5 linked regions of the Danio rerio genome follow. The protein of the gene in region 1 interacts with the protein of each later gene in a pairwise test. Links are inferred from orthologs where the notes say so. Each region holds a gene or a part of one and is shown in the gene's direction. Other genes may lie near its edges. The genes, in order: lonrf1, stau1, alas1, kctd9a and efhc2.

Region 1 (4,202 bases):
AAGTGAAATAACTTCCTTTTACTGTGAAAATTCATGCATACACACATATGAAATCACTTGCATATATGTATATACACAACTAACTGTATATATGTTTGTGAATTTTATTTTTTATGTTTGCACAAGTGTCATTTGGGTGTTTATGCACACATCAAGTTTATATTCTTATGTGAGAGTTTATGGTTGTATATGCATAGATCAAGTTTATATGTGTATGCGAGTGTGTATAGGTGTGTTTGCATGCAGCAAGTTTATATGTATGTGCGTGTGTTAATGTGGGTGTTTATGTGAGGATCGAGTTTATATGTATGTGCGTGTGTATGTGGGTGTATTCATGCGTCAAGTTTATATGTATATACAAAAAGTTTCATCCATGTTGTTTTGAACATCCAGTAGTATAGGTGTATATGCAAGTAATTTATAGGTGTATATACACGTGTTTTATGTATGTGTTGATAAGCAATTGTTTGATTTAAATCCTATACGGCACCTCATATGCTACCACTGATCTATATACACTTTTTGATAAGTGGCTGCTTCATATTTTTGTTGAAGTAATAATATATTATTTAAAAAAACTCCAGCTCTTTTAGTCAACACTGATATAACATTTTTTCAAAAGAAAGAAAAAATACATTCATAATGTTACAAAAGATTTTATTTCAAATAATTCAATCCTGAAATCACAGCAAATCAGCATACTAGACTGATTCTTCAAGGTCATATGACACTGCAAGCATCACACATTGTGCTTAACTTAATAAAGTGGTGATCGCATAAAAATGATTTCCCAACCCTGAATTACGCATATCTATCGGCCACTGATGCTTTGCAATGGGAAAATGTTATCAGACTTATCTCTTGTGCAATATGGAATTACGTATGTGTGTGTTGACCTATATATTACATGACTACCGACATTCCGACAGACTTAACACTGTTGAGTAACAGACCCAGACATTCAACCTATATGCCAGGCCCCTAGACAATTCACACAAACACATTTAGTTAACACAGGAAATCATTGATCTCTTTTCTCAAAACAAATACACATCAGTGAAACACGCAAAACAAATCCTGATGTTATATCACACACGATGTCCGGTCAGTTAAAATGTTTTTTCCACCAAAACGCCCAGCATAAAAGTGAATAACACATGATAGTCTGATGACACGCTGACTTCTCTGGATTTATATGCATGCATTCTTTCAAATCAGCCCTTTTTCTCGCTATAGTCCCGAATTGCTCGTTACAAAACTCCGAGCTTCATGTTTTGTAATGCGCCTCGGCTGCCAATGGACGCGCTCGCTCACGGTCACGTGAGTGTATTTTTACGTAACTCGCGGACAAAACGCCAGTATGTTTAGGAGCGCGAGTCACTACGTTCTTCTACACTGTTAACCGTAAGAATGCTTTGACATTTTTATCATTTATTATATTTTGCCAGTTCAGTGGGCGTCGCTCGCAAACATGTCGTTGCGGAGACTAGACCAAGACTACGCTTTGGAGGAGAGAGGACGGTTTTTTATACCATCCGAAACTGAAGGCGACTGGGACGTGGACGAGCATGTCGATCACCGTCAACTTGTTTTGCTCAAAGCTGAAGCTTTAGCGTCGGAAAACCGTCTCAAAGAGGCTGTCGATATGTTCGCCATGGCTCTCAGATACGGTCCTGTCAGGCCGGAGCAGCTGAGCAGTTTGGTCGGATGCGTCCTGCGCAACTTCAAGAAGAAATCAGAGGAGTCGCCAGCGAGAAGTGAGCCGAACTGGACACAGGACTGTGAATTAGACTGCCCTGGTTGCCACTGTTTCATAGCCGAGCCCGTGACGGTGACCTGTGGACACACGTATTGTAGGAGATGTTTACAGCATAGCACTTTTTCTCAATGCAAAGTGTGCAACGAGGACATTAGGAGGAGGCCAGGTGAACCCCGGCTGAATGTGATATTGTGTGGACTTTTAGACAAGTGGTTTCCAGAAGACGTCAAAAGAACTAAATATTTAGGGGAAGCTGAAAGCCTGTTGAAGAGTAAACAGTACGACAAGGCGATTGCACTAACGAGTCGGTTATTAGACTATGGTAAGTTCGCATCCTCCTGTTTTATTGTTGTTGTTATTATTATTGTAAAATATATGCACTGTCGGAAGGGTAATTGGGTCAAGTTTTTATATTATTAATAGGAGGTTTAAGGAGTTCCACTGACCAACATTTGGATGGCCAGCTGTAACTTACATATTAGCCCCGCCCCCCGCGGTCATGTAACAGGAGAGTGGCTGCATTACAAAACGTGTTCGCATGGCGCATGCGCACTCGCCGCGCGTTGTGTAAGGCAGGTCGTGACACAGAGAGTGTTTTGTAATCTGAATCAAAGTGAGTTTTATAATAACAAGTAGAACAGTGCGTTATAGCCATAATGTTCTATTGTTTATTCACGAGACCGATGCGTGAGGGCTGTCATGTCCTGTTGGTTGAATAGTAACCTAAATCCTAAAACGCTTTTGGTAAACAACAGCTGAAAAAGGTTGCAATGTCAAAACAGGCATGAATTGTTACTTTGTATTTAACGTTTTTTATCAGTTTTTACCTTTTATGAGTGTATTTTTGGGTGTTTATGCTAACAACTAAGTTTATCAAAAGGCGTAATAGAAGTGCAAGTTGTATACCAAAATTCAAAAGCAGCTGGACTGAAAAGACTGCAGACTATATATATATATATATATATATATATATATATATATATATATATATATATATATATATATATATATATATATGTGTGTGTGTGTGTATATATATATATATATATATATATATATATATATATATATATATATATATATTTACACACACACACACACACACACGTATGTGTGCGTGCGTGTGTCTGTGTGTGTATATATGTGTGTGTGTGTAATATATATAATTTATATTCATTTTCATTCATTTATTTTGTCCTATTTAGATCCTGAATACCCATATATAACCATGACACATTAAGTTCAGTATGTTATGTTATGGAGAACCTTGAATTTCTATTCCAAATGTCTGGATGTCGACAAATTCCTCTATTCGGGTTATAAACAGTATTACATTACATCAGCTGGTGATTCCTGATTTAAAAGAGATAATCTTTGTCCTTTTTATATGAGTTTATATAACTTTTCTCACATCAAAATATTCTTATTATTATTATTTAAATGCATTGTTGATTCATAAAAATCAAGTGGCAGGCAAGAAAACATTGAGTTGCATAACATATATATAAGGTCATCTTGTGTAGTTAAAATTGGAAGGACTTTTTTATTTAGTAATCACACTGTGTTCTGGGCACATGTTTTGATAAAAGTGTGTGTTCCAGATAAGTAACATCATTGAGCAAATCAGAGGTACAGTATAATCATGGTGCGGCAGTCTCATCTTCACTGCTGTGTCCTCATTTACCCTGCTGGAGGAAAAAAACAAGGCAGCCCTGCAGTGTCACTCAGTTCATGTTCCCTTGTGGCATGTCGGTTCACAAATGTCTCTCGTTGATCTTCTCATCTTACACATCATAAAATCTCGGGGATCACGAGTATGAAAATTAATGACACAGCGCCTGTCAGACTGTAGAGGCAAGATAGTGCAGCTGGATAGGGTAAAAAAAGGCAACAGCTAAGAGTTATTACTATTTTTTTTATTTTCGATTACATTAAGATTTTCAAACTCATTTTGCATTGCAGCTGTATAAAAAGTTACATTTTAATCAAATAAGGCATTGTTTTGTTAAATATGTGCTTATTTTCATACTTTTCTATCACAAGCATCTGAGCATTGATTGAAGTCAGACTGAAAATTCCTTTTATTATTATTTTTTTGACATATTAGAGAAAAAAGTTTTTAAAGAAGGGATTTGAGGAGTCTTTTATACATTTATACACTCACCCATCCTGTCTGTCTGTCTGGCTATCTCACCATCTCTCAATAGTTACATTACATATGCAATGTTGAGAGTTTATATGTTGGGATTGTATTTGAGCATAATGATAATTGGCCATAAGTTCGCAAAACACGAGGTTTGTGGAGTTTAACCATAATAAAAGTTTATTATTTGCGTGTGTTTTTAACACCTGTGACTTTGCATCCCCATTTCTAAATTTAGTAAAGATTTATTTTATTTAACTATGTACAATGTTAAATCTAAAATAAAATTAAATCTGGACT
Region 2 (3,516 bases), on another chromosome or scaffold:
TAACTAGTGAGAGTACGCCCTAAGATTGAATAATAAAAGTAAGCAACAATTTTAACATTGGTAGTAGTAATATAACCATTTTTTGTAATAACTTTGTAATAACATTTTCCTCATGTTTTCTTGAGCACCAGATTAGCATATTAGAGGTGATCATAAAGCCTGGTTTATACTTAACGCGTCCGCTAGTTCGCTTGAGTGCGTGCAGTGAATGTGACGCCATCAATGTGTTTGCGGAGGTTCACTTTGGGTGCGTGTGAAATGCTTTTGGCTGGCGAAGTGCAAGATTTTTTTTGAGACTCGAACAAACAGTTTGCACGCGCCGCATTTGCTTTGAGTTGAATCTGAACCACTTTGAAGAGATTTTGTCTGAAACAGGTACGACTGTACAGATATCTTTATAGTCTGTCCATGTTTGATTATAGGGAGAACCGGATGACCAATAATTCTTGGCTAGAAATTGCAACAGCAGTGGGAAAGGAAGAAAGATTTGTTAAAAAGTTTAGAAAAACTTGAAGAATAAGTTTGTTAAAACCAAAAAGAGAGGCCGTAGCTAAAGGGGAGACCCAGATGGTTTTATCAAACAATTACAGATTATGTTTTTCCACCACTCATAAGTTTTACACTGATGTGTATATATTATAATTTAGAACAATGTAATATTTACTAAGCTAAAATAAAGTTACATCATTAATTTTATTATTATTTTTTTTTTGATAACTGGAAAGGAATATTTAAACCGATTGGTTTACAATATACGGATGCCTGTTTTTTTAGGCTTTATAGGTGATAATGGTCAGGAATCTTGGACCTTTATTGCCTTTTTAGCTTAAAGGTAGAGGACAAACTAGCCAGACAGTAATGTGTGAATTGTTAAGTGGGTTAAATAAAAAAAGTCTTTACTTTTTTTAGATATTTTAGAAAGTGTACTTTTTTTTTGGTTAAACTGAAGGTTTGAAGGTTGAACTGTCCAAGATATCAACGAAAGCAAGTGATGCATCAAATTTAAATAAAAAAAAATCTTGAACGGTTATAAAAATGCTTATAATCGTTAAAATAATTTATTAATAATCTTGAACAATATTAATGATATGACGCAGTTCCGGAAACTTTCTACTTCTCTGTTTAACCGTCTGATTTTACAGTCCGTTTCTTTTGACTGCCCCCTGTTGTTTTAAAGAATATCACAACAGCAAATGCATCAAGTATAAAAGCCTTGGCCGTTTTGTGAGGTGGATGCACAGTCAGTGGTGGTGCTCGATGCGGCACCAGGCGAAAGTATAAATCAGGCTTAATAGTGGATACTGAAATTTCAGCTTTGCTATCACAAAAAAAAACATTGGTACATTGTGGTACATTTTTTTAAAGAGATTAAATTAATCCCAAATAAATTTGAACAAATACTACAGTAAAGACATTTATAATCCAAATAAAAGTCATCTGTTTTAAAGAAATGCTTTTAAGCCCTATAACTTTAAGTGGATAATACGGTTTTCTTGATCACCAATTCACCACATTAGAAAGATTGTTGAATTGAATTAGCTTATATGTAAATTTAATTATCTACAAATTGTAATGGTATTCTCTAACATTACTGTAATAGTTTGAACCCTTATAAATAAGCAAGCAGCTCTTTGACATGCTTCTCTCTCTCATGCAGATAATGTAACCCACACTGTGGAGCTTAATGCACTTTGTATGAAGTTGGGCAAAAAGCCCATCTATAAACCTATAGATGCCTACCAGGGGATGAGACCAGCATTTAACTACAACATCAGAGCACCAAGCCCGTATGCACGCTCCATGCAGCAGTATGTACTTTCTATTCCAATCTGTTCAGTTTTCCTAAAAGCATAACATCATTTTGTCTTGTGTGATAGCCAGTGATTAATCTCTTAGCACAAATGCAGTAGGATTGATGTACAGGCATGTCTTTTGTTTTTGAGCAGTTATTACTACCCATTTCCTCCTGTGGGGCCAGTACTGTATCATATGGAGCTGTCAATCGGTGGTCAACAGTTTCATGGCAAGGGCCGCACACGTCAGGCCGCCAAACATGACGCTGCAGCCAAAGCTATCAAATACCTGCAGAAAGAGCCAATATTGCAGCAAATAACTGAGGTGAGACGGGTCATGTTCATTACATGCTGTTAATGGATTATTCTACGAAATGAGCTGGGGTCTCATTTATTAACATGGCGCACACATCAAAAATAGGGCGGAAATGTGCGCACACAAAAGTTGTGATGTAAAAACATTCTTGATGGGAGAATGGGCTTAGATTTTAGTAAACTTATTCATTCATTTATTTTCCTTCGGCTTAATCCCATATTTATCAGGGGTCACCACAGCGGAATGGACCGCCAGCTATTCCAGCATATGTTTCATGCAGTGGATGCCCTTCCAGCTGCAACCAAGTACTAGGAAACACCCATGCACTTTTATTCTCACATACACACACACTCACACACTACGGCCAATTTTAGTTAATCCAAATCATCGTACTGCATGTCTTTGGACTGTGGGGAAAACCGGAGCACCTGGAGGAAACCCACGCTAACATGAGGAGAACATGCAAACTCCACGCAGAAATGCCAACTGACCCAGCCAGGACTTGAACCAGCAACCTTTTTGGTTTGAGGTGACAGTGCTAACCACTGAGCCACAGTGCCACCCAAGTAAACTCAAACATTGACTAAACTGAACCACTTGTAATCATTGTATGAGCCATATTCATTAACAAATACATAATTATTCTGTTGTACGTTCACTTTTAGGAAGGTTTCTTGCTCTATGCATATTTTATAAATCAGACCCCTGCTTTGTGAGCTTGAACCTAATCTAAGGTGTTTTCCAGAATATAAGTAATGTATTATTTATGCTGAAACGATTACAAAGTGAATTAGAAGTATAATGAACTTAAAGTCAAGCAGGAAACGGATGTCCAAAGCAGACAAGCAATTTAATTGGTGCCAAATGAGGGGAAAGTGAGTATTTGTAATATACACTTCATGTGCGTTGCTTGTTTCATTTTCCCTTTAAATTAAAAGTTAATAATTATTTTAAATTTTTGTTTGTTTCAAATAGATACCAGTGTATACTTGAAAAGATTTAAAACTGCTTAGTTAAAATGTGCTGAAACGCAATTCTTGAGATTTTTTTGGGATAACGTAAATGGGGGTTAACTTAATCTATTTGTGTTGGCACAACATGAGGGAAGTTTGTGGAACCCAGCAATTTTTAGAGTATAATTTATGTTTGTTGTATACATGCAGTTTTTATTCAGTTGTCTGCTGTTGAACTGATTTTTATTTTTTTTTTTTTGACATTTTCAACATTTGTATTTGCCTACTTTTTGTTTTTGAATGGAATTCTAAAATCCATCTCATACACTAATTAAGTGAAAATGTATTTTCTCTGCAATTCTGAGCCTGTGCAACTTTTGTTTAATTATTTCCTGAAAATGTATTAGAATATACAAGGAAAATACATGCATCTTATCCATCTTGTTAAATTGTG
Region 3 (4,239 bases), on another chromosome or scaffold:
ATTCCTGTTTGATTATTTTACAGCTGATTTTCCATATGTCTCTTTTGCATCACTCTTTATAATTTAGAAAATACTGCAAAGAGATGGAAAATTTGCAAATAAACCAACAAAAAATATTTATTAAAACATTTATTGTGGAACAGAACTATAATATAGCTTTTAATCAGGCAAATAATGTCTATGGCTCAGTGCAAAATGTGTATAATTATATATGTGTAATGAGCATATAGTGTATAACTTGTGCAATAATAGTTTATTATGGTTTTATTTACAGACACAAATTCAAAACAAAAACTTAAAAGTGAATTTCATGTGCCTCAGTTTTATCTCACTTTTAAACATATTATAACTATTAAACCTGCTTATATATTTACATATTTTACATATTTATAACTTATAAAAAATCTCTAAATCAACAAAGTGCATGTAAGAGAAGTGTGTTCATCTAGTTTATAGCTTCATTTATAATGGGACAGAGTAGTTCACCAACTGAAAACGAACATTTCCTCAATAGTTCTTCGCTGTTTCTTTATTAGTGGCTGTAAACTTTAATGATTTCTTTCTTCTGTTGAACACAAATATAATAATGCTGGAAAAGCTGACTCCAATAGAACAGACATATCTTCCAGCATTCTTCAGAATATCTTCCTTTGTGTTGAACAGAAGACATAAACAGGTTTGATGAGGTGGAGGATGAGAAAATGATGGTGGGATTTACATTTGTGTGTGAACTGACCCTGAAAACTTTAAGGAAACAGTCCTGTTGTTTTTACTCTGAGTTATGTCTGGGCTATTCCTGTAGCAGGGCGCGTCTATACACTTCCTTTGACTTTCTGGTGTAGTTTCCTCATATTAATGACATAAACAAACACGAGGACACATGTATCATACTGATCACAACACACGTGTTGATCAATCTGGGAATTATCCGCCTCGTGTGCTCAGGGTTTGAGGCGGTGCAGTCTAGAAGGGATACAGCTGCGGTTACTCATACTTTTTATGACCCACCCTGTACAACAATAATTCATATTTTACATTACTGTGAGGGCTGGGGTAGGTGTAGAAGTTTGTAAATACAATTAATGGGTCATTTAATAAACAATACGAACTCAGTATACTACTGTTTACGTGAGGGTTGGGTTAGGCGTTAATAAAATACTATTTAATGGGTAGTTTAAAAAACAATATGATTCGTCTCGGTGTAATTACTGTTTTTACATTAATGTGAGGGTTAAGGTAGACGTTTATAAAATACAATTCTCGTTAACTTCATTTCTCGCCGCAGCTGTATCTCTTCTAGCAACAACCGGTGTCGCCATAGTTTGCGCGGAAGGAGAGGCGTGTCCTCGCGGCTGCTGACGTAAAGATCGCGAGATCTGCGGCCGCTGGTGCGATATAATCCCGGAGCGCCGCTCGCCCTCTCGTTCGTCCTCAGTGCAGGATAACGACGCACATCGCTCATTACGGCTGAGAAAACAGGCCAGAGACGGCATAACACTAACAACCGACCACCGGACAGCGATACCAACAGAACACACCCGCGATCTCGGAGGAAACTGAGGTGAGGCGCGTTCATTAGAGGTCGCGGCGCGTTTAATCATGCGGCTTTCTAACTGTTGACCTCTGAAGACTCCACAGATTAACTGTACATCTGCATTTATTTATGTTTTATATCTTATTAAAGGTAGAGAGAGTTCAGTAGAGGATACGATGGTCGTTTTTAATGTACATTTAGCAAATTTAGCTAAAACGCCTCAGGTTCCTGTCAGGTTTGCTAACGTTACGTCACGTGACGCAGAAATCATAACTCTTAACATTAGCCGGTAGGTTAAATTACTGTACTGTACTGTACTATATTGATTTGTAATGTAGCAGAGTAGTGAACTGTTAGTGTAACGTGAGGTTTAGTTTCCGTGTGTAAGTCAGCTGTTTCCCGGCAGGTGAGCTGACAGTATCGGTGAGTCACTGTCGGCGCTGTTCTCTGACTTCATCAGGAATTAATGAGGTCAAGTTGGTTTTATTTTCACACATTGGGTCATTTAATGCTCTCTATATTGTTTACCACTCTATTTTGAATATCGAGTCTGAAAGAGCATTTAAATATGAATTCTAAAACAACATTAGCACTGTTTAATTGACCGTGAATAATGCTGGAATGCACTTTGATGGTCATTGACTGCTGATATGATTCCCCTATTTAGAATTTGATAATACTTTTCTGAAATGAGATTGTGAAGGAGAAAGTCTGAATGTGCGAATATAAAAACAGTTTCTGCTGTTTTAACTCGTATGAGTATGGGATTGAGGGAAAGTTGGTTTTAAATTCACACATTTGGACATTCTCTTTAATAATTTAATATCAGAAAAGTGTTCTTTGCTCATTCTAAATGGTGAAATCATATAATCAGCCAATGGCTATCAGAGTACAGCATTGTTTACAGTCTGATCCTTACATCCAATTTTGACCTAACATTCAAAGTACCATGGTAAACAATATAGGGAGGGAACCACTGAATACATGTGAGAATATAAAACCAACTTGACCTCAATGAGTATCGATGATGATGATGATGATGATGATGAGGGCTGAGCTGAGAGCAGCTGTAAATCTGTGTGGAATGGGCTTACTGTGATTTGAGTTTGAGTGCTCACACACAGCTTTAAGGAGTATTAGTGTACTGTGTGTGTGTGTGTGTGTGTGTCTAATGTTGAGGCGGTAAAGTATGTTTTATATTCGCACATTAGTTTAACGTGTTGTTTATTACACTGCTTTACATATTTACATATTGGGTGTGAAATGGCATGTAAATATGACTTCATAACAACATTAGACGTGTTGGTTAATCTGCATTCATACAGCGTCTTCAAGAAGTCCCAGTGTCTGCAGGAGCCTACTGGAGGTCTGCAATCTGGAAGTTCTATCACAAGTCTGATTTGAGATAAAGCTGTTTTGTCTATAATGTGTTCTTAGGATGAGGGGAGATGGCTAAACCGAGCATGCAAATGAAGTGTTGTTGTCGGCAGGGTAAACTGCCTTTTCAGGTCTGATCTCATCATGTTCTGGAGACAGAAACCGCCTGACCAGTTGACCGAAAAGAGAAAACAAGTGACACAGCCGTGCTGTGAGACTGACACTTTGCATTACTATGGAATATAAATTTATATTCCCTCAATGGTAATGTGATTTACTGCTGTATAATCATTTATTTTTATTTTGTCTTAGTCAAAAACAACAACTTTTTTCCCCAATTAACACAATATATTACATTTTAGGAAACATTTATATTATTTTGGAACCGTAAACATGTCAGGCTACATAATTAAAATAAACCATTGACTTCTACAATCTTTTTTATCTTCAAAAATCTTCAAAACAGATTTCCTTACAACACATAAAAAAACTCTACATATACCTTAGAAACGGTATAAAAAACATTTGTGCGGTTTTAATACCGAGACTTTTCCAGACCGCAGTAAACCTTGTAACCGGTTATCATCTCATGCCTAGAATGCACACAGACTCTGAGGGAATTGTCACCGTAGGGCCCCAAATTAAGTAAATATGCTCATAAATCAGACAGAATGAAGTGTTTAGAGATGTAGAAGTGCAGAGTGTGTGCTGTGAGCGTTGAGTTTAGAGGGAGACGAGAGAATACACACACACTGTACAGAACAAACATCACTACAGCTGTACCGAGATATACGAACGTGTGTGTGTGTGTGTGTTTGTTTGTGTGTGTTTGTTTGTTTGTGTGTGTTTGTTTGTTTGTGTGTGTTTGTGTGTGTTTGTTTGTTTGTTTGTTTGTTTGTGTGTGTGTGTGTGTGTGTGTGTGTGTGTGTGTGTGTGTGTGTGTGTGTGTGTGTGTGTGTGTGTGTGTGTGTGTGTGTGTGTGTGTGTGTGTGTGTGTGTGTGTGTGTGTGTGTGTTTTTGAACTCTCAGTACTGAGGTTGTGGCTCAGTTCCAGTCATGTGAAAGTGACAGTAACCCTTCACACCGGCCGGCTGTTAATCACCATGACAGTGCACTGTGTAATCAGTCAGTTGTAATTAACCTGCTCTCTGTTCTGTGTTTTCCAGACCTCACTGAACCGTCAGCTATGGACGCCATCATTCGCTGCCCATTCCTGTCCCGCGTCCCGCAGACGTTCCTCCAGCAAGCCAGGAAGTCTCTGGTGGCGTATGCGGTGAAGTGTCCTGTGATGATGGATCTGGCCTCCAGACCCCTGCTGCGCCCGCTCT
Region 4 (3,217 bases), about 46 Mb from region 1:
ATGCAAACCTGTGCTGCTCAAACCTAGAGAGAGCCGACCTGTCGGGAGCCAACCTGGATGTGAGCCCTTTATCTCTTGCTCTGGGACAAATCTCCTTCTTTTTCATCTCTCAGTTTGTTAAATGATCCTGTTCTCCAGGGTGCTAATCTTCAGGGCGTGAAGATGCTCTGCTCCAATGCGGAGGGAGCGTCTCTTAAAGGATGTAACTTTGAGGATCCCTCTGGACTTAAAGCCAATTTAGAGGGTAAAACTCCTGCATATTTAAATCCAGTGTTTATTTTATCTAGTAGAATTAAGCTGATGGACCCTTTTCACATGACATATTATGACACATTTAACGTCGTCAGCACCTTGAAGGTTTGGAATGTTTAGATTTTAGATTTTTTTTAAACGTGTGAACATTTATATGTGTTTATGAATATTTATTTACCTATATTTACATACACTGTATAAAAAGGCACATTTAAAAAACATATTTTAAAAAAAAAGGTTTTTTTTTTTTTTTACTAAACTGTTTCTCTTTTAGGTAAGTTAGAATTATTGAATTTGTTTCTGTTCTGCTTAATAGCAGAATAATGAGAGAGAGATTTTTTTGAGAAATTGTTTTAACTTTTATTGAAATTCAAGTTCACATACAGTAAGATTATTCTGCCTCTGAAAAACCTCACATGATGCTGTCAAGGTTTTGGAAGTTTCTGATTGGCTAATTGACAACATTTGAGTTAATTGGAGTCACAACTGTAGAATAGTATTTAAGGAAAACCTCAAACACACTGCTTCCTTGTGTGACAACATGGGAAAATCAACAAGCCAGAATCAACAACAAAAAAAAAAGCCAGATTACAATTTGCTAAATTACACTGGGAAAAGAATATTTTATAGAGGCATGTCCTGTGGTCTGATGGAACTAAGATTGAACTGTTTGGCCATAATGACCAGTGTTACATTTGGAGGACAAAGGGGAAGCTTACAAGCCTAGGAACACCATCCCAACTGTGAAGTATGGGGGCGGCAGCATCATGTTGTGGGGCTGTTTTGCTGTAGGAAGGACTGGTCCACTTCACAGCATAGATGGCATCATGAAGAAAGAACATTATGGAGAAATACTGAATCAACATCTCAAGACATCAGTCAGAAAATTAAAACTTGGCCACAAATGGATCTTCCAAACAGACCATGACCCTTAGCATACTGCCAAATGAGTTAAAATGTGCTTTAAGGACAACTGAGTGAATGTTTTGGAGTGGCCATCACAAAGCCCTGATCTCAATCCTATAGAAAATGTGTGGCCAGAGTTGAAAAAGCTTGTGCGAGCAAGACAGCCTACAAATCTGACTCAGCTACACCAATTCTGTCTGGAGGAATGGGCCAAAATTCCTGCAAACTATTGTGTGAAGCTTGTGGAAGAAAACCCAAAACATTTGACCAAAGTATACAGTTTTAAAGCAAAGCTAAAAAAAAAAAAATACCAAGGAAATGTGTTTAAACTTTTGACTGTCTAGAAATAAAAAAAAAAAATCTAAAAAAAAAAATCTTATTAATCTGGTATTTAGCAAATGTAAATCATTTAGGTAATCCTAACGGACCTAAAATAGTAAACATTTAGTATGATTTAACACCAGACATTAAAAAAAATGGCTATGTTCCTTTTTTCAGAGTGTATGTAAAATTCTGGTTTCAACTGTATTTGGACATTGACACAATTCTAACATTTTTAGCTCTATACACCAGCACAACCGATTTGAAATAAAACCAACAAGATGTGTTTTAACTGCAGAGTGTCAGCTTTAATTTGAGCGTATTAACATCCAAATCAAGTGACCGCTGTAGGAAGAGTTTGCATATGCGCCTCCCACTTGTTAAGGGACCAAAAGTAATCAGACATTTGGCTTCTAAACTGTTCCATGGTCGGGTGTGTGTTATTTCCTCATTATCCCAATTACAATGAGCAGATAAAAGGTCCAGAGTTTTTGGGTGAACTGTGCCTTTAATGTTGAACTGCCATGTTTTAAGCAATGTTTTTGCTGTGCGCTTTAGGGGCTAATCTGAAAGGAGTGGACATGGAGGGCAGTCAGATGACTGGGATAAATTTGCGTGTGGCTACGCTGAAGAATGCTAAGCTAAAGAACTGTAACCTGCGTGGTGCTACATTAGCCGGCACAGATCTAGAGGTGAGACGGCAGTGTTGATTGAATGTTTGAAAATGTTTAGAGATTTTTCAAAGGAAGAAGAAAAATATGAACAATTAAAGTCAGAATTATGAGCCCTGCATATTTTTTCACCAATTTCTGTTTAACGATAAGATTTTTTAAAACACATTCCTAAACATGATAGTTTTAATAACTCATTTCTAATTACTGATTTCTTTTATCTTTGCCATGATGATTGTAAATAATATTTGACTAGTTGTTTTTCAAGACACTAGCATCCTGCTTAAAATTACTCTTGATTATTTGATTGTGTGTTCAGAACTGCGATCTCTCAGGCTGTGATCTACAGGAAGCCAATCTGCGTGGTTCAAATGTGAAAGGAGCCATCTTTGAGGAGATGCTGACTCCGCTGCACATGTCTCAAAGCGTGAGATAACCACTTACTCTGCTCACCGCCCGGTAAAAGCCACCAGCCAGCTCCTCACAGCACTCTCTTACCCACAATCCTTTTCACGCTCCTGTGAAAACTTATGCAATACTAGCACTTGTTTTGCCAGCCCTCTTTGAGCTTTACTCACTGCAAAAAAAAAAAACTAAAAGAAATTCTACTTGCTTAGGATTTTTGTCCAGTTTTCGGGCCAGATATCTAAAAATTCTTCAGTCAAGAAGCACTTTCTACACAAATTCAAAATATTGTTTTGTTTTCAGAATCAGTAAGTCAGAATTATCTGAGTTTTTTTTTGTTAAAACTAGCTAAATAATCTTCCATTAGGGTAAATAAAATGTTCTTATTTCAAACTGAAACCAAAATTGTTTTGCTTATGCCATTGGCAGTTTATTTTGCTTGATTTAAGGTAAAACATTTGTTATAGTTACTAGTTACTTCTCATAAAAAGTAAGTAAAAAAAGTTAGTAACTGGATTACATCATTATAAAACTAACTAATTACCAGCGAAAGTAACTATTGCGTTAATTTTTAAAAATGTCCAAAAAGTGACCGCTGTATGTTTAATAAATTGGACACTAAAATAAATAAATTATTATAAATAAAACATTGTACACCATTC
Region 5 (4,066 bases), on another chromosome or scaffold:
AAATTTAATACATAATATAAATAATTCTTGTTTACTTCCGGCCACAACCGTATGTGATCTAGCAATAACCCTACTTTTGTCTACTTATCAGTCTTCCATCATTTTGTTAGCGATGCCTATCCTCCAATGATCCAATCAGTTCCTGAAGGTTTTTTTCTCATTTCAGAATCGTTTCAATTTGATATGAAAAACAGGACAATCTTAACATCTGTTTTATGGTGAATTTAAATGACAATATATTGTGTTTGGATGAATCTGAGTGTTTTACAGTGTTGCAAAAAACAACGACTTTAAAAAGTAAAAATAATAATAATAATGTATCTGTGTGGGTTAAGTTATTAAATGCTACCCTGCAGATTTTTACAGTGGTACATTTCTAAGAAAAAAAAAGGAAAGAAAAAAAGGCTGTTTAATCAACAGTCATAACTGAAAAAAGTTACATGACAAAAAAATGTCAAGGTGATTTTTTTACTTTAACTTATTTTAATAAGTAAATCAGGTTTCAACTAAAGTTATGCTGAATTATACGAAGTTTAACTTTATATTTTAAGTCAGTTTGATGTTGTTTGATATGACTATGAATGCTATTAACTAAACAAGCTTTTTAAAAGAGTGTAGCAGTAGATTATTAAACTGAAAAGAACATTTGTTGTTTTAAATAGTATTTCATTAATTTGTGATATCTAACTGCCTGGTATTAGTTAGCCTACTTTTATTATATTTTGATTAATTTATTAACGTTATACTTTAAGAATCATATAGTGATATTGAAGACCAACCTTTTTGTTTATTGAGAAGTCTATTATTTTAAGCATTAGTTTTTGTTTGCTTGTTTTTTTTATACCAGGAAACTGTAAATTACAACTTAGAATACAGTAAAAGAGAAGTTCTATTACACAATATTTACATTAGATACACAGGATAAAGAGCAAAACCCAAAAAAAAGTACATTAAAAATGAATCAAAAAAAAATTGCAAAAAAAGTATTAATCTTTATTTTTATAGTATAATTTTTATTTTACAATGTGGATTGTTTTACATAGAAGATTCTAGTGAAACCGTGTCAGTTCAGTTTTCAGAGTTTTAGTTAGCATTAAGTAGCATTAAAGATCATATTTACTAAGTGATTAAACTAAATGTTCTATTTCACATAAGAAGTCTATAAAATTATTTATTTTAAGCATTAGTTTTAAATAGTTTAATTATATAGTGACTACTGTGCATTGTCACGTTATCTGCGTTTCGTTGCCTAGCAATGACATTTGCAAACAAGTTGTTACCGTTACCGTGGCGAGCAGTTGTGCCGTCTGCGGCTGTCGTCCAACTGAGGGAAAAATAACGTTAATTCGCTGATAATCATGGCGTTACCAATGCTGCCTGGAAATTCAGTCAACAGAAACGTAAGTAATATCAGAAATCTAAAATAAATTCCTGTTATAAAAAGCCTTGTAGGACATTTCTAAGCTAACTTACATTGGTGCAAGAGCAAAAGTGCAATTTATCCTTTCGAAAGCACTTAATATAACGTTATGCGTTAACGTTATTATTTATGATTCAATATAAGTTAACTTTAAGCACAGTTTCGACGTCAGGTGCGATAAAAGTGGTCAGAGAAAATGACGATTTACCTTTTTGAACATACCATTGAACGAGATGGATAAAAAAAATGTAACTTATGTGTTTATTACACATTATGCATTAGTTCATTTGTTAGTAAGTAGGCAGTTCAATTGTTTAAACCACTAAAAGCAAATGAAGGAAACTGATCTAATATAATAACAGGTTAAATGGTCTGATATAGTTTGTCTTACACAATAATGAAAACAAATCTCTTTCCAGCTTGGAAAAGACAAATTTCACAAGTCTCAGCATTTTGATTATTCAAATGGAGTAGCTATGATGGTTGGGACAGAGAAGCCGGGCATTGGAGGAGATCTGCTCCTGGGACAGAGTGCAAGAGCCAAATATTCACGGTTTCCAAAAGGAGAGGGCAGTGGTGCTCCAGCATGGCTTGCCTTTGACAAACAGGTTTTTCATCATATAAGAATATAATATACCTATTTTTTCACCTAGTGCTTGGCAAAATATACAAATTTACCCCCCTTTATTTACCTACCTGAAGGTCCTGTGTTTTGATGCTTATTTCAATGAAGATGTTCCTCAAAGGAGGGAAGAAAAATATAGAGTACGAAAGTGCAAGATTTACTTCTACCTGGAGGATGACACCATACAAGTGGTGGAGCCAGAGTTCAAAAACAGTGGCATCCCACAAGGTGAACCATCAGAATCAAACATTTAGTTTCCAGATTAATGACAAACCAGTTAAAAACATCTTGTCTAAATTCAGCTGTTCTTCTTCTGTACAGGAACCCTGATTCGGCGCCACCGCATTCCTCTACCAGCTCCTAAAGATGATTGTTTCTACAATGTGCACCATTTCAACATCAACCAGGAAGTCGTGTTTTATTCCAGAAACTTTATGATCACAGACTGTGACCCTTTCACTCGCAACTTTTTGATAAAAATGGGAGTCCGACTGAATCCTCCTGCTTCCACACCAGCGGATCCCTATACTACCCTTCGACAAGAGGCAAGTGAGCACCAGGGATCTAAATAGCAATATCAGAACTTCCGTATTATAAAGTGTGTTTCCCCTGACAGTTGGAAGAGAACATGAAGCCACTGCGGCCGTATGAAAGACTGGATACCCTGAAGCAGTTTTTAGAGCATGACCGCCAAGTCCTGCGCTTCTACTGCTACTGGGATGATAGTGAGAGCATGTTTGGAGACCCTAGAGAGCTGATCCTGCATTACTTCCTGGCAGACGACACCATGGAAATGTACGAAGTTGTTCCTCCAAACTCTGGTCGAGACACTGTCCCTAAATTTCTGCACAGGGGCAAGCTTCCCAAGGTTAGTAAGAAACAGCACATTACTTTAAATATATATATATATATATAAACATATTAGAAAAGAACATATCTGTAAAGGAGAATCACATATATAACTAATGCATTGAGCAAAACTATTGCAAGTATAATAAAAAAACAGTTTACAAGGTACAAATTAATGGAGGCACAATGGTGCAGTGGGTAGCACATTCGCCTCACAGCGAGAAGGTCACTGGTTCAAGCCTCGGCTGGTTCAGTTGATGTTTCTTTGTGGAGTTTGCATGTTCTCCCTGTGTTCGCGTGGGTTTCCTCCAGGTGCTTCGGTTTCCCCCACAGTCCAAAGACATGCACATAGGTAAATTGGATGAGCTAAATTGTCTGTAGTGTATGTGTGTGAATAAGTGATGAGTTGCAGCTGGAAGGGTATCCGCTACGTAGAACATATGCTGGTTAAGTTGGCGGTTCATTCCGCTGTGGCGACCCCTTTTAATAAAGGGACTGAGCCCAAAAGAAAATGAATGAATGAGTGTACAAATTAGCATACGCAATGCTTTCTGAAGAATTGTCACACTAAAGGATGTATTCATTTCGTTTTAAAAGTTGACGTATCTCACAGGTGTTTTGTTTTGTTTAATTATGCTTTCAGATAGTAATATTAGACCTTGCTATATGTGCTGTCAACTTCCAATGTTGAACATCTCTACGGTTTAACAAAGTAAACTTAATAGACATGTTTAGTAGTTTAAAACAATAAATTTTAAGAAAATTATATATATGTACAGAAATAATTCCAGAAAGTAACAGAAATGTATTGCCAACTAAGGTTTTTGTACTGTAATCTTGTTAAACGTTTCGACACTACCTGACCAAAGTCGCCTATCCAAGTTTTAGGAACAATTAATAATAACTGGACTTCTAGTTGATCATTTGGTATCAGAAGTGGCTTATATGAAAGACAAAGACCTCTAGATTCATCTTATTTTACCAAAATAAAATATGATTATGCCTTGTTTTCTAATTATTTAATTAGGACAGTAAGGTCGACTTTCCTTAGACAAAATTCTTGTCACTTACAGGAATATTGTACAGTATAAACAGAACATTAACATGCACATACAATTAAATATAAAGAGTTCTAAATTTATAGATTAAAATAATTTAAAAATTAAAAAGTT

What was found.
Region 2: the proteins of lonrf1 (region 1) and stau1 interact in binary tests that used the Homo sapiens proteins (3 or more experiments, as listed by UniProt). The two-hybrid records come from large-scale screens. The link is inferred for Danio rerio from reciprocal best matches to the Homo sapiens genes LONRF1 and STAU1.
Region 3: the proteins of lonrf1 (region 1) and alas1 interact in binary tests that used the Homo sapiens proteins (3 or more experiments, as listed by UniProt). The two-hybrid records come from large-scale screens. The link is inferred for Danio rerio from reciprocal best matches to the Homo sapiens genes LONRF1 and ALAS1.
Region 4: the proteins of lonrf1 (region 1) and kctd9a interact in binary tests that used the Homo sapiens proteins (3 or more experiments, as listed by UniProt). The two-hybrid records come from large-scale screens. The link is inferred for Danio rerio from reciprocal best matches to the Homo sapiens genes LONRF1 and KCTD9.
Region 5: the proteins of lonrf1 (region 1) and efhc2 interact in binary tests that used the Homo sapiens proteins (3 or more experiments, as listed by UniProt). The two-hybrid records come from large-scale screens. The link is inferred for Danio rerio from reciprocal best matches to the Homo sapiens genes LONRF1 and EFHC2.

Annotation. Positions count from the first base shown.
Region 1 is NC_133183.1:15,527,304-15,531,505, forward strand, and holds the start of lonrf1 (LON peptidase N-terminal domain and RING finger protein 1), read left to right. Parts: upstream 1-1,397; 5' UTR 1,398-1,471; coding exon 1,472-2,081; intron 2,082-4,202.
Region 2 is NC_133181.1:48,966,740-48,970,255, forward strand, and holds part of stau1 (double-stranded RNA-binding protein Staufen homolog 1), read left to right. Parts: intron 1-1,657; coding exon 1,658-1,808; intron 1,809-1,946; coding exon 1,947-2,118; intron 2,119-3,516. UniProt on the Homo sapiens protein: Binds double-stranded RNA (regardless of the sequence) and tubulin.
Region 3 is NC_133186.1:320,231-324,469, reverse strand, and holds the start of alas1 (5-aminolevulinate synthase, non-specific, mitochondrial), read left to right. Parts: upstream 1-1,423; 5' UTR 1,424-1,561; intron 1,562-4,077; 5' UTR 4,078-4,097; coding exon of another isoform or gene 4,098-4,239.
Region 4 is NC_133183.1:61,414,451-61,417,667, reverse strand, and holds the end of kctd9a (BTB/POZ domain-containing protein KCTD9a), read left to right. Parts: coding exon 1-59; intron 60-138; coding exon 139-244; intron 245-2,037; coding exon 2,038-2,171; intron 2,172-2,469; coding exon 2,470-2,586; 3' UTR 2,587-2,706; downstream 2,707-3,217. UniProt on the Homo sapiens protein: Substrate-specific adapter of a BCR (BTB-CUL3-RBX1) E3 ubiquitin-protein ligase complex, which mediates the ubiquitination of target proteins, leading to their degradation by the proteasome.
Region 5 is NC_133184.1:35,469,627-35,473,692, reverse strand, and holds the start of efhc2 (EF-hand domain-containing family member C2), read left to right. Parts: upstream 1-1,260; 5' UTR 1,261-1,358; coding exon 1,359-1,400; intron 1,401-1,839; coding exon 1,840-2,028; intron 2,029-2,122; coding exon 2,123-2,273; intron 2,274-2,366; coding exon 2,367-2,590; exon of another isoform or gene 2,591-2,594; intron 2,595-2,661; coding exon 2,662-2,913; intron 2,914-4,066. UniProt on the Homo sapiens protein: Microtubule inner protein (MIP) part of the dynein-decorated doublet microtubules (DMTs) in cilia axoneme, which is required for motile cilia beating.